2 linked regions of the Oryctolagus cuniculus genome follow. The protein of the gene in region 1 purifies or fractionates together with the protein of each later gene. This does not show direct contact. Links are inferred from orthologs where the notes say so. Each region holds a gene or a part of one and is shown in the gene's direction. Other genes may lie near its edges.

Evidence for each region. The genes of interacting proteins can lie anywhere in the genome.
Region 2: the proteins of USP47 (region 1) and FBXW11 purify together in Homo sapiens (affinity purification with mass spectrometry; 10 studies listed by BioGRID and IntAct, counting the BioPlex papers as one, with this or other methods). This does not show direct contact. The link is inferred for Oryctolagus cuniculus from reciprocal best matches to the Homo sapiens genes USP47 and FBXW11.

What each region holds. Positions count from the first base shown.
Region 1 is NC_091432.1:54,376,710-54,381,709, reverse strand, and holds the start of USP47 (ubiquitin carboxyl-terminal hydrolase 47), read left to right. Parts: upstream 1-1,699; 5' UTR 1,700-1,908; coding exon of another isoform or gene 1,909-1,947; intron 1,948-5,000. UniProt on the Homo sapiens protein: Ubiquitin-specific protease that specifically deubiquitinates monoubiquitinated DNA polymerase beta (POLB), stabilizing POLB thereby playing a role in base-excision repair (BER). Acts as a regulator of cell growth and genome integrity.
Region 2 is NC_091437.1:58,565,321-58,569,537, reverse strand, and holds part of FBXW11 (F-box/WD repeat-containing protein 11), read left to right. Parts: intron 1-922; coding exon 923-1,001; intron 1,002-2,005; coding exon 2,006-2,167; 3' UTR 2,168-2,192; intron 2,193-4,217.

The sequences.
Region 1 (5,000 bases):
ATCTCACATGGAATGCCCTCCCTGCAGGTGGAAGTTTAACCTTCTATGTCACAGCATCAGCCCCTGATAAACCTTTTAAAAAGATAATATTTTGAAAAGTCAAAGTTACTTTTAAAAATCCTTAAGTAATATCACAATTTTAAATAAAGACTAGTGCTCCCAAAGAAACTTCAACATGGTACATGTACACTCAAACTTGAAGTCAGAATTATTCAACCTATTAAAAAAATCTTCCAAGAAATTTACTCTACAGCATTTTGAACCCACTTGCTAAAGGAATAAAAATGCCACATCTTCTGATTGTTATCAGGGAAGATGGAAACTTACTGGAATTTCAACAAAAACCTTTGCAGGGTTTGTGGCTGGAACTGATTTTTAAAAATGGGTGTTGGGTTGCTAAGAGCAGCTAAAGATGTACTTCTTCCATCAGTATCTACATCTTCGACAGTTACTTTTCTCAGCTAATGGCAGCCTGTGAACACCAAGTCCAGAAATAACCTGAACCGTGTGTGGAATCGAGTATTTTAATAACTGCTTTACAAAGTATTAAAAATTTTAAAAAACTAATCCAAACCAATCATACTTGGCTAAATATTCTTTAGCGGGAGCAACAGAAATGTTTATGCCCTTAATATAATAAACTCAGTTTTTTAAATGTTTGTTTCATCTTTACCTTACCCGTTTACATTTTACAAAGTGCTGCACACAGCAGGAGTGCACAGCTGAGGTCAACAGGTGGATACCTTTTTCTGCCTTTGTAACAGAGGCGAAGGTCTAAAAGAAGTCTGGAGATCCCAGGTGCAGGTGGCTGACGCTGTGGGTGTTGGGAATCCGGCAGGATTGCGTTCGCCCAGCGCGCTCTGACAATCCTGCATCCATCATTGCCTTCGTAATGGAAGCACTAACGTTTGGAAAAACGACTGTTGCGAAATCTGCTTAACCTAACACGTAGCACAACGCTCTCTGTAGCTACAGGAGATTAAAGTTCGCTCATTTTCAAAGCAGAACGTCCGTCCATCGCAGGAACCTGGCCCCGTTGGAGAAGGACGCTCCCTGGAAGGGGGCGGGGATGGAGCTGGGGGACGCGGCCGGGGATGCCGCCACTTCACTGGGGCGAGGAGTGTTGCCTCTCCCAGTGGAAGATGGGCCCCGAGGTCCCTCCCGGCGGGATCGTGAGGAAGGTGGGGAGGAGGGTAAATACTACGCTGGCCCTTCTGACTGGACGGGCCACAGCCCTGCCCGAGGGCGGAGGCCGGGCGGGATCCCACGGTGCTCTCTCCTCCAGCAAGAGGCTGGGGTGTTTGAAGAGGACAGGACGTTCGGAAGCTGGACTGACTGGAAAGAAGCGTATGGACGGCGGGGCCAGCCAAGGGCCTTTCTGCTGGCGCCGCTTCCTGATGCGCAGGCACTCGGGAGAGCGGGGCATGGAGACGCTGGGGCCTGGCCTTTTCCCTGCCGACAGAGGGAGCCTTGAGATGCAAGGTCCTTCTTTTCTCTAACGAAAGGCGTTTGCAGGGCTCCTCGACCATTCTGTACATCCCGGGGCAGAGTAGACACCCAGGTGATTAAAAGTGTGCGAGCGACAACCACCCGGACGCCCTAAGCGCCGGGCTCGGCGCTCGCAGCCCCACGGGCCGAATTCTCGCGAGAGCGGTCGCCGCCATTTTTCCATTGATTGCAGCGGGCTGGGGGAGGGGCCGACGACGAAGGCGGCGGCGGCGGCGGCGGCGGAGCCCTGGGTAGGTGTCTGCGCGCTGGTGTCTGAGGCCCAGGCTGAGGCCTCCGCGATCGCCGGAGCGCAGGCGGCGGAGACGATGACCGCCGCTGCCGTTCTCTCCTGAGACAGAGCCGCCGCCATCCTCCCCCCTCCCCCGGCAGGGCGGAGAGGAGCGGCCCGGAGTCTGAGCGATGGTGCCCGGCGAGGAGAACCAGTTGGTCCCGAAAGAGGTGAGGGGCCAGCGGAGGAGGCTAGGCCCGAGGCCTGCGGCCGCTCGAAGCAGCGCAGGCCCGGGCGCGGGGCCGGCTGGATGCGGGCCGGGCTGTGGGGAAGGAGGCGGTGTGCGGCGGCGGCGGTCGGGGGCGTGGGGTGGGGGCGGCGAGCAGTTGGGAGACCCGCGGGATGCAGGGGCCGGCAGCGGAGACCTCCCCCCACCACCACCCCGCCTCGGGTTTGCTGGGCTGAACAAATAAAGGAGCGAACGGGCAGGGGCCAGGTCCTGGTTTGGGGGGCCAGCGGGGCTTTAGCCCTTATCTAATGCGTGGAGCCGAGACGGAGAGGGATCATGTCAAAGAAACCCTGGAACAGTTGCGGGTGGCACTACAGGGTGACGGTGCTGCTTCTGGTTTTGACAGTGGCCGGGGATGGCTTTCAAGGCTGGTGAAAGCTACACCCTAGTTGAGATCTGTGGGAGGGCAGAGTTAACTGTTACGACTTTTCTCAACTCCTGTTACTTCGTAGTACTATGGGCCTGCCTAACCGGGGCCTACCAAAGGTCGGGGCAAAGTAGTCAGTGGCACTTTCCTTTGCTGGTAGGGGACAGCCGAGCGCTGCCATATGGGGAGCTGCACTGTGTGTTGGTGGCTGGGTTGTGTGTGCCGATTGGGGTGGCTTCTTAAATTCTTAAAAGCAAGCGACATGAGAAGCCTTGACTTCTTGGCTTGTCTTGAATAGTAGTAGGAGATTAAGAGTAGACTCCATCCAGCACTGGCCAGTGAGTTTCAATATATTAATAGTATCTCTCTTGGCTTTATAAATATCTTAAGCGCATTCAAATGTGTATTTTTAACAGGCTGATCATCAGGCTAATGCTTTGGATTTTTATTTCTCATATACCTTAAATAGGCAAGTGTTGGGTTGAAATTAGCTCTGGAGGGTCTTGATATATTTATGAGTGATCGTTACAATTCTTAAATGTTTTTGCCTTGTAAAAGTTGTTTTCTAACAACTTGTTGATACTTCAGCAAGCTCTGACACTCTGTAAAAGTGGTATCATTGGAGTTACCTACTCGAATGAAACAAATATGTTCCCAGCCTGACCAGGTGGACAGTGATAGCTGTTTTGCAAGGATGTCAGTATTTTTTTCTCCCAGCATCACCAACTCTGCAAAGCAGCTAAACAGATGAATTGATCAGAATTCTTGCCTTGGTAGTTTGCTGAGCTCAGAGAGGGAACACTGGAATTCTTTGCACTCTGATTAGGAGCTTGGTACATTATACTGCATAAGTAATTCTTATGCAAGGAAGTGATAGTTGTATAAGAAAAGTATAAACATTTTCCTCTTGGAGCTGTATATTGGTGTTTTTCATTCTTTAAAAACAGAGTTTAATACTTATTTTTTTTCCATTAGAAACTACAGTATAGGTGGGACTTCACTATAAGAAAACACACCATTAGATTTGTTTTCCTAATAATTTATTTTATTTATAATTTATAATTTATTCCCCTAGTAATTCATAGAAAATGTGATATAGATAAATAGCGTCCAGGAATATATCTGTTGTGCAAAACTGATATTTCAATGCTGCCATTATCTCTTGGAAGTTTAAAGATTGAATGTTTCTCTTTCATTTCCCTTCTTTGATGCTTCAAGCTCATCACAACTTTTTGTTTTCCTTTCTACTTTTGGTAGACCATATGCCTTTATTTTCTATTCCTTAGTCTCCGTTTCTTTCATAATTTCTAGACGCGTACACAGTACTGTCAAATCTTGAGGCCATTGCCTTTTTTAGCTGACTGGTTTTTCTTTCTTTTAATGGCCCTACTCATTCTTTGTCCAGCTGATTGCCTCCACTTCCATATTTGCTTCTGGAATCCTGAAAATATGTTCCTGAAGGTCACCAGTGATCTCTTAAATGACCAAATTCATTGTTTTTTTTTTTTCCTTCTCTTTCTTCAATTATTTTTGTAGAATATGATACTTAAAAAAAATCCTAGAGGTGTACATTTAGCCTGGTGGTTAAGATGCTCACATCCCATGTTGAAGTACTTGGTTTCCATAGGCATCTCTAGCTCCTGACTCTAGTTTCTTCTTAAGTCCAACTTCTCCAGACCCTGGGAGGCAGCAGTAATGGGATTAAGTAATTGGGTTCCTTACTCTCACAGGGGAAACCCAGTTTTGGCATGGCCAAATCCCATTCGTCCCAGGCATTGTGGGGTGAACCAGCTGATAGGAGCTCACGCTCTCTCCTCTCTCTCTTTCTCCCCCCCCCAAAAAAAAATAAATAAGCAAGCCGTTCCTGGATTTTGATAATACTGCATGTTTCTGCCCATTTTCCTACCTGCTTGGAGTGTATGCCTACCCTTGTTTAGTCAGAGCCTTTCTTTTCTGTGTGTATGTATTCTTAATTATCACTTTTGGTTGATCTTTGATGTTCCCTGACTGGTGCTTTTACGTAGTAGTGGAATCTTCCAGCGCTAAAGCTAATAGAGAGCATAGTGATCCGCTAGTAATTAAGCCTCTTAACTCTACATTTGAGGGGCTTTTGCTAGAGGATTGAAAGTGACTTGTTAGGGAACACATGAGGAGAAAAGGGCAGGGCTAAGACTAGAACTCCCATCCCTTGATCCTGTTCCTCAGTTCTACTGTGTTTTACAGATGCTTCCATGTAATGTAGAGGCGCTATAAGAATAGTTTTTAACTTCCTGGGTACATACAGTGTGTGAAATAAATTGCAGAATTAAAAATTTAAATTTAAAAATTTATTGCATCTGATTTAATTGCTTTTCATCAACAGTATTGAGGGGTGTTTTTTGCAGGGGGAGGTTCTTACGTCAATAACCTCTGACAGCTTACTACATTTAAATCTTGTTTAGGGGTGTGTATGTATGGATATGTATAGTTGTTGACTGAATAATACTGTGGTCCCTGAAGCTTAATGACAAATGTACCTTAAATGACTACTAAAGAAGGAAGCTTAGTATAGTTAGGTGGTTGACAGACCACAGCCCATGGTACACATCTAACATGCATCCTGTTTTGGTGTGGACCATTAAGTGTGA
Region 2 (4,217 bases), on another chromosome or scaffold:
TTGAACTGGCATACATATGGAATGCTGCCACTGTTACCTGCTATGCAACAACACCGATCCTAGAACAAATCCTCTTTAAAACACCTCAGGACTTTTAAGGTTTATTTATTTATTTGAAAGGCAGAGTTATACAGAGAGAGAGAGGGAAAGGCAGAAAGAGATCTTCCATCCACTGGTTCACTCCCCAAATGGCCACAATGGCCTGGACTGGGCCAAGCCAAAGCCAAGATCCCAGAGTTTCTTCTACATCTCTGACATGAGTGGCAGAAGATGTAGCCACATGAAGCCTTTGGGCATCTTGTGCTGCTTTCCCAGATGCATTCACAGGGAGCTAGATTGGAAGTGGAGCAGCTGGGAATCAAACTGGCAGCCATATGGGATGCTGGCGTCACAGGTGATGGCTTTACCACAATGCCAACCCCCAACTCATGACTTTTTGAATGAGCAAATGGCAACTGCAGCCCTTTTAAGACAAGCTTATACAAATCTTGGAAATGGGTTAGTTGGTCTGGTTATACTCCTGTTGCTAACTAGCAGCATTTGCTCAGTTTGGAGAAGGGTACGTGGGAATTTCACACAGAACTGTAGCTTCTGTCAGCAGCACCTTATCTACTCCAGGGGCCCCCTGGTTAATGAATTTGGCAGTGTGGATTATCCAGTCAGGAACTGAACTGAGATAAACTGAAGTTTTCTTGTCTCACTTAAAATAGTAGTTCTTCCAGATTTCAGCAATGCTAAGAATGTTTAGATCCTCAATGTTTTCTGCAATACTGGAATTGTTTCAAGTAACTTGTAAAACGTAAGCATGTTGCCCATTAGCTTGATAATAGGCAGTTCAAATGTGCTTCTTTTTGTCAAGGAAATGCTTAGCAATATATAAAATGTTAGTTTTTGTACTAATCTCTGTCATTTTCCTTTGTAGGAAAATTAAAGTTTGGGACTTGCAAGCTGCTCTTGACCCTCGGGCCCCAGCAAGCACCCTGTGTTTGCGCACATTGGTGGTATGTGATCTGTTGAAAGAGAAGCTGATTCCCTTTGCTGAAAGATGGCCGTGTGCACATAGCCCTTCCTGTGACCCACAAGGAGGCCTGTGGATCTCACCACTGGCTTTAAAGTTTAGCCAAAATCAGAGAGGGTTTGACATTTACATCACTGTGGGCTCTTTCTGAAGGAGTAACAGGGCAGGCTTTCTTATAGGGAGACTGGATTCCTCCTAGAACACGCAGTATATTATCTTTCCTGGAGGTTTGGGAGAGCTCTTAATGTGGCTGTTAGTGTCTCTATAACAGCACATATTTGTATTATAATGGTAGCATGTTCCATCAATCTGTGCTTTATGCACATATGTAGTTTATGGCATCTTCATGTGTTAATCTTGTTTTTGCAACTTTACCAATGTCGTTTTAATAATCTGGTTGGTTCTCTTGTATTTTTGAGGAGATAGCATTTGAAAATACTGGTAGGTTTTTCTTATTTTTCTTAGTGATGTTACCATTTTTTTTCTAGTTCTAGCCTCTTGCATTGCATCTAGAACATGCAGTGTTATAGTTAGGGCCATTCTTGTTTTCCTCTTGATTTTAACTGGAATAAATCTGATGTTTCACCATGAATTGTGCTATTGTGGTTAGAGGTAGATATTCTTAGCCATGTTAAAGAAACAGCCACCTGTCCTCTGGTTCTGGTTCTGGTTTTTACAGTATACCACAAATTAATGTTAAATATTGTTTATCTTTCTAAGACCTTTATGAGGTGATCACATCATTTTTCTTCTTTGACATATAAATGGTCCAGGATCCATGATACAAAGTTTAATGAAAGAGAAAAAGTAGAAGGAAAAGCAAAGTATTTGTTCTTGGGTTGAAGGACAAAGCTCAGTGAGTTCTGGAAAATTATTTGGGAAGTCTGGATAAGTAGTTGTGTTTCCAACTTGGGCTGAATCTCTCGCTGGGAGAGATGAGAGGTTGTAAAGGTGTCGTTTTGTTCATGAAGCTGTTATATTTCCTAGGAACATTCTGGACGTGTGTTTCGGCTACAGTTTGATGAATTTCAGATCATCAGCAGCTCCCATGATGACACTATTTTGATTTGGGATTTCTTAAATGTGCCTCCCAGTGCCCAGAATGAGACCCGTTCTCCCTCCAGAACATACACATACATCTCCAGATAACAGTCTGCACTTTCACCCGCTTCTGGTGAGCATTAACCCTGCGCTGATTGAATTCCTCTTCCCTTGGAAAGTTCTTTGAGACTTGGATTCCTCAGTGATGAGACCCCAGGTCTCTATTAGATGTGTCAGCATTCACTGAGTTCTTTTGTAAGACCAGATCTTTGTAGTCACGTACAAACAAGGCTGAATTTGGGATCTTGTGTGTTGTGGGATTTTTATGTCGACAGATGAGGAATGTAATTCCTTTTTAAAATACTGTTTTCTAACTTATTTCTCAGATCATATCAATTTAGCACCAGTGAAGTCTCTGAGTTTTATTTTGGAAGCTCCTTTTCCACTTTCTTTCCTGTTTTTCAGTTCCATCTTTGATTAAAGATATAAAAGAAAAAACCAACTACATAATTAACCAAATATTCAAAGTCACTCTCCTCCCCCCACCACAGTTCTCACTACCTCCCTTCCTTATGTGTGAATCAAAGAAGGTTTTTGTTAAGAGAGCCTCTAAACCCCATTCTTTATCCATGAGATACAACAGGTACCCTGAGTCCTTCACTGTGGTTACAGGAAGACTTAAACTCATTATAACCATTGATGATAGAATGTTTTGTTTACTAAAGATGTTCAATCTGGAAGATGTGTGAAGTCTCACTTGCCTATGTCCTAGGAACTGATGACAATCTGGACAATATTCCCAACCCTGGGAACTTTGCAGGGGCCAGTGAATCTGTGCTCTCCGAACTTTGTTGATTTAATCAATACAATTGCACCTATTTGTACTACTATAAATATACATATATAGAGACTGTTGTGATTAATAAAATTCATGTTTATTTAAAACATTACTTCATTTTAATGGCTTTTATCATTATATACTTTCTTGCTTATTGAATGTTAAAAGGAAAAAGAAATGTACAGAATTTTGAAATTATTTTGATAAAGATTTGGAGCCCCTGATACCTTACTCCTCAATATCCTGTCTTTTCAGCCATTCCTTAATCAAGATTCCAAAACCCAGACAATAGGTATCCTCTAGGAAGTTTGTTGTACCCAGGAGTCAACACATTACAGTCATGGGGCCAAATTTAACTTACTGCCTGGTGTCCTCCCCCCCCCCCCCCCCCCCCGCCACTGCAGTTCCTTTGTTACGAACACCAGTGTCTGGTACAGTGCACAGTATATTAGAAGCAATCATTGATGAATTTTGGGCCAGTAGCACCTGGTGCCATTGCAATGTATTTGGGCCACACAAAGAATGTGTCCCTTAAATGTATATACCCTTATAGCTACCTTCATAATCAAAGCATTTTCCATTACATTTAAATCTCTCTGTAGTCAAAACCTTCCCTGACCCCAGCCTTGGCAAGCACTGGCTTGCTTTCTAGTACTAGGTTAGTTAGCATTTTCTAGAGCTACACTGTCCACTGTAGGAATCATTAGCCCTATATGAGCTCCTAAAATGTGAGCAGTATGCTAAAGGAGCTGAGTTTGTAATTGGACTTAATAATATTTATTTATTTTTAAAAGGTTTATTTTTATTTATTTGAGGGGCAGAGTTACAGAGAGAGAGGAGGAGACAGAAAAAAATCTTCAATCCACTTGTTCACTCCCCAAATGTCTATAATGGGCAGTGTTGGGCCAGGCCAAAGCCAGGAGCTTCTTCTGTGTTTTTTGGATCTCCTGGCAGGGGCCAGGCACTGGGCCACCTTCTGCTGCTTTCCTAGGCCATAGCAGAGAGCTGGATCGGAAATGGAGCAGCCAAGCCTTGAAACAGCGCCCATATGGGATGGCAGTGTCACAGGCAGTGGCTTTACCCAGTAATATTTTAGTTAAACTTAAATTTAAAAGGCCACATGTGGCTTACTGACTCCGTGTTTGGACCAGTATGGGTTTAGAAATTATAGATTTTTAGCTTTTACATTTAGATCTTTGATACATTTAGAGTTCAGTTTTGTGTGTGGTGTGATGTAGAAATGTCATTGTTCCAGCACTATTTAATGAAAGGACTTTCCTCTTCCATTGAAATGTCTAAGTACCTTTGTCAAAACTTCAG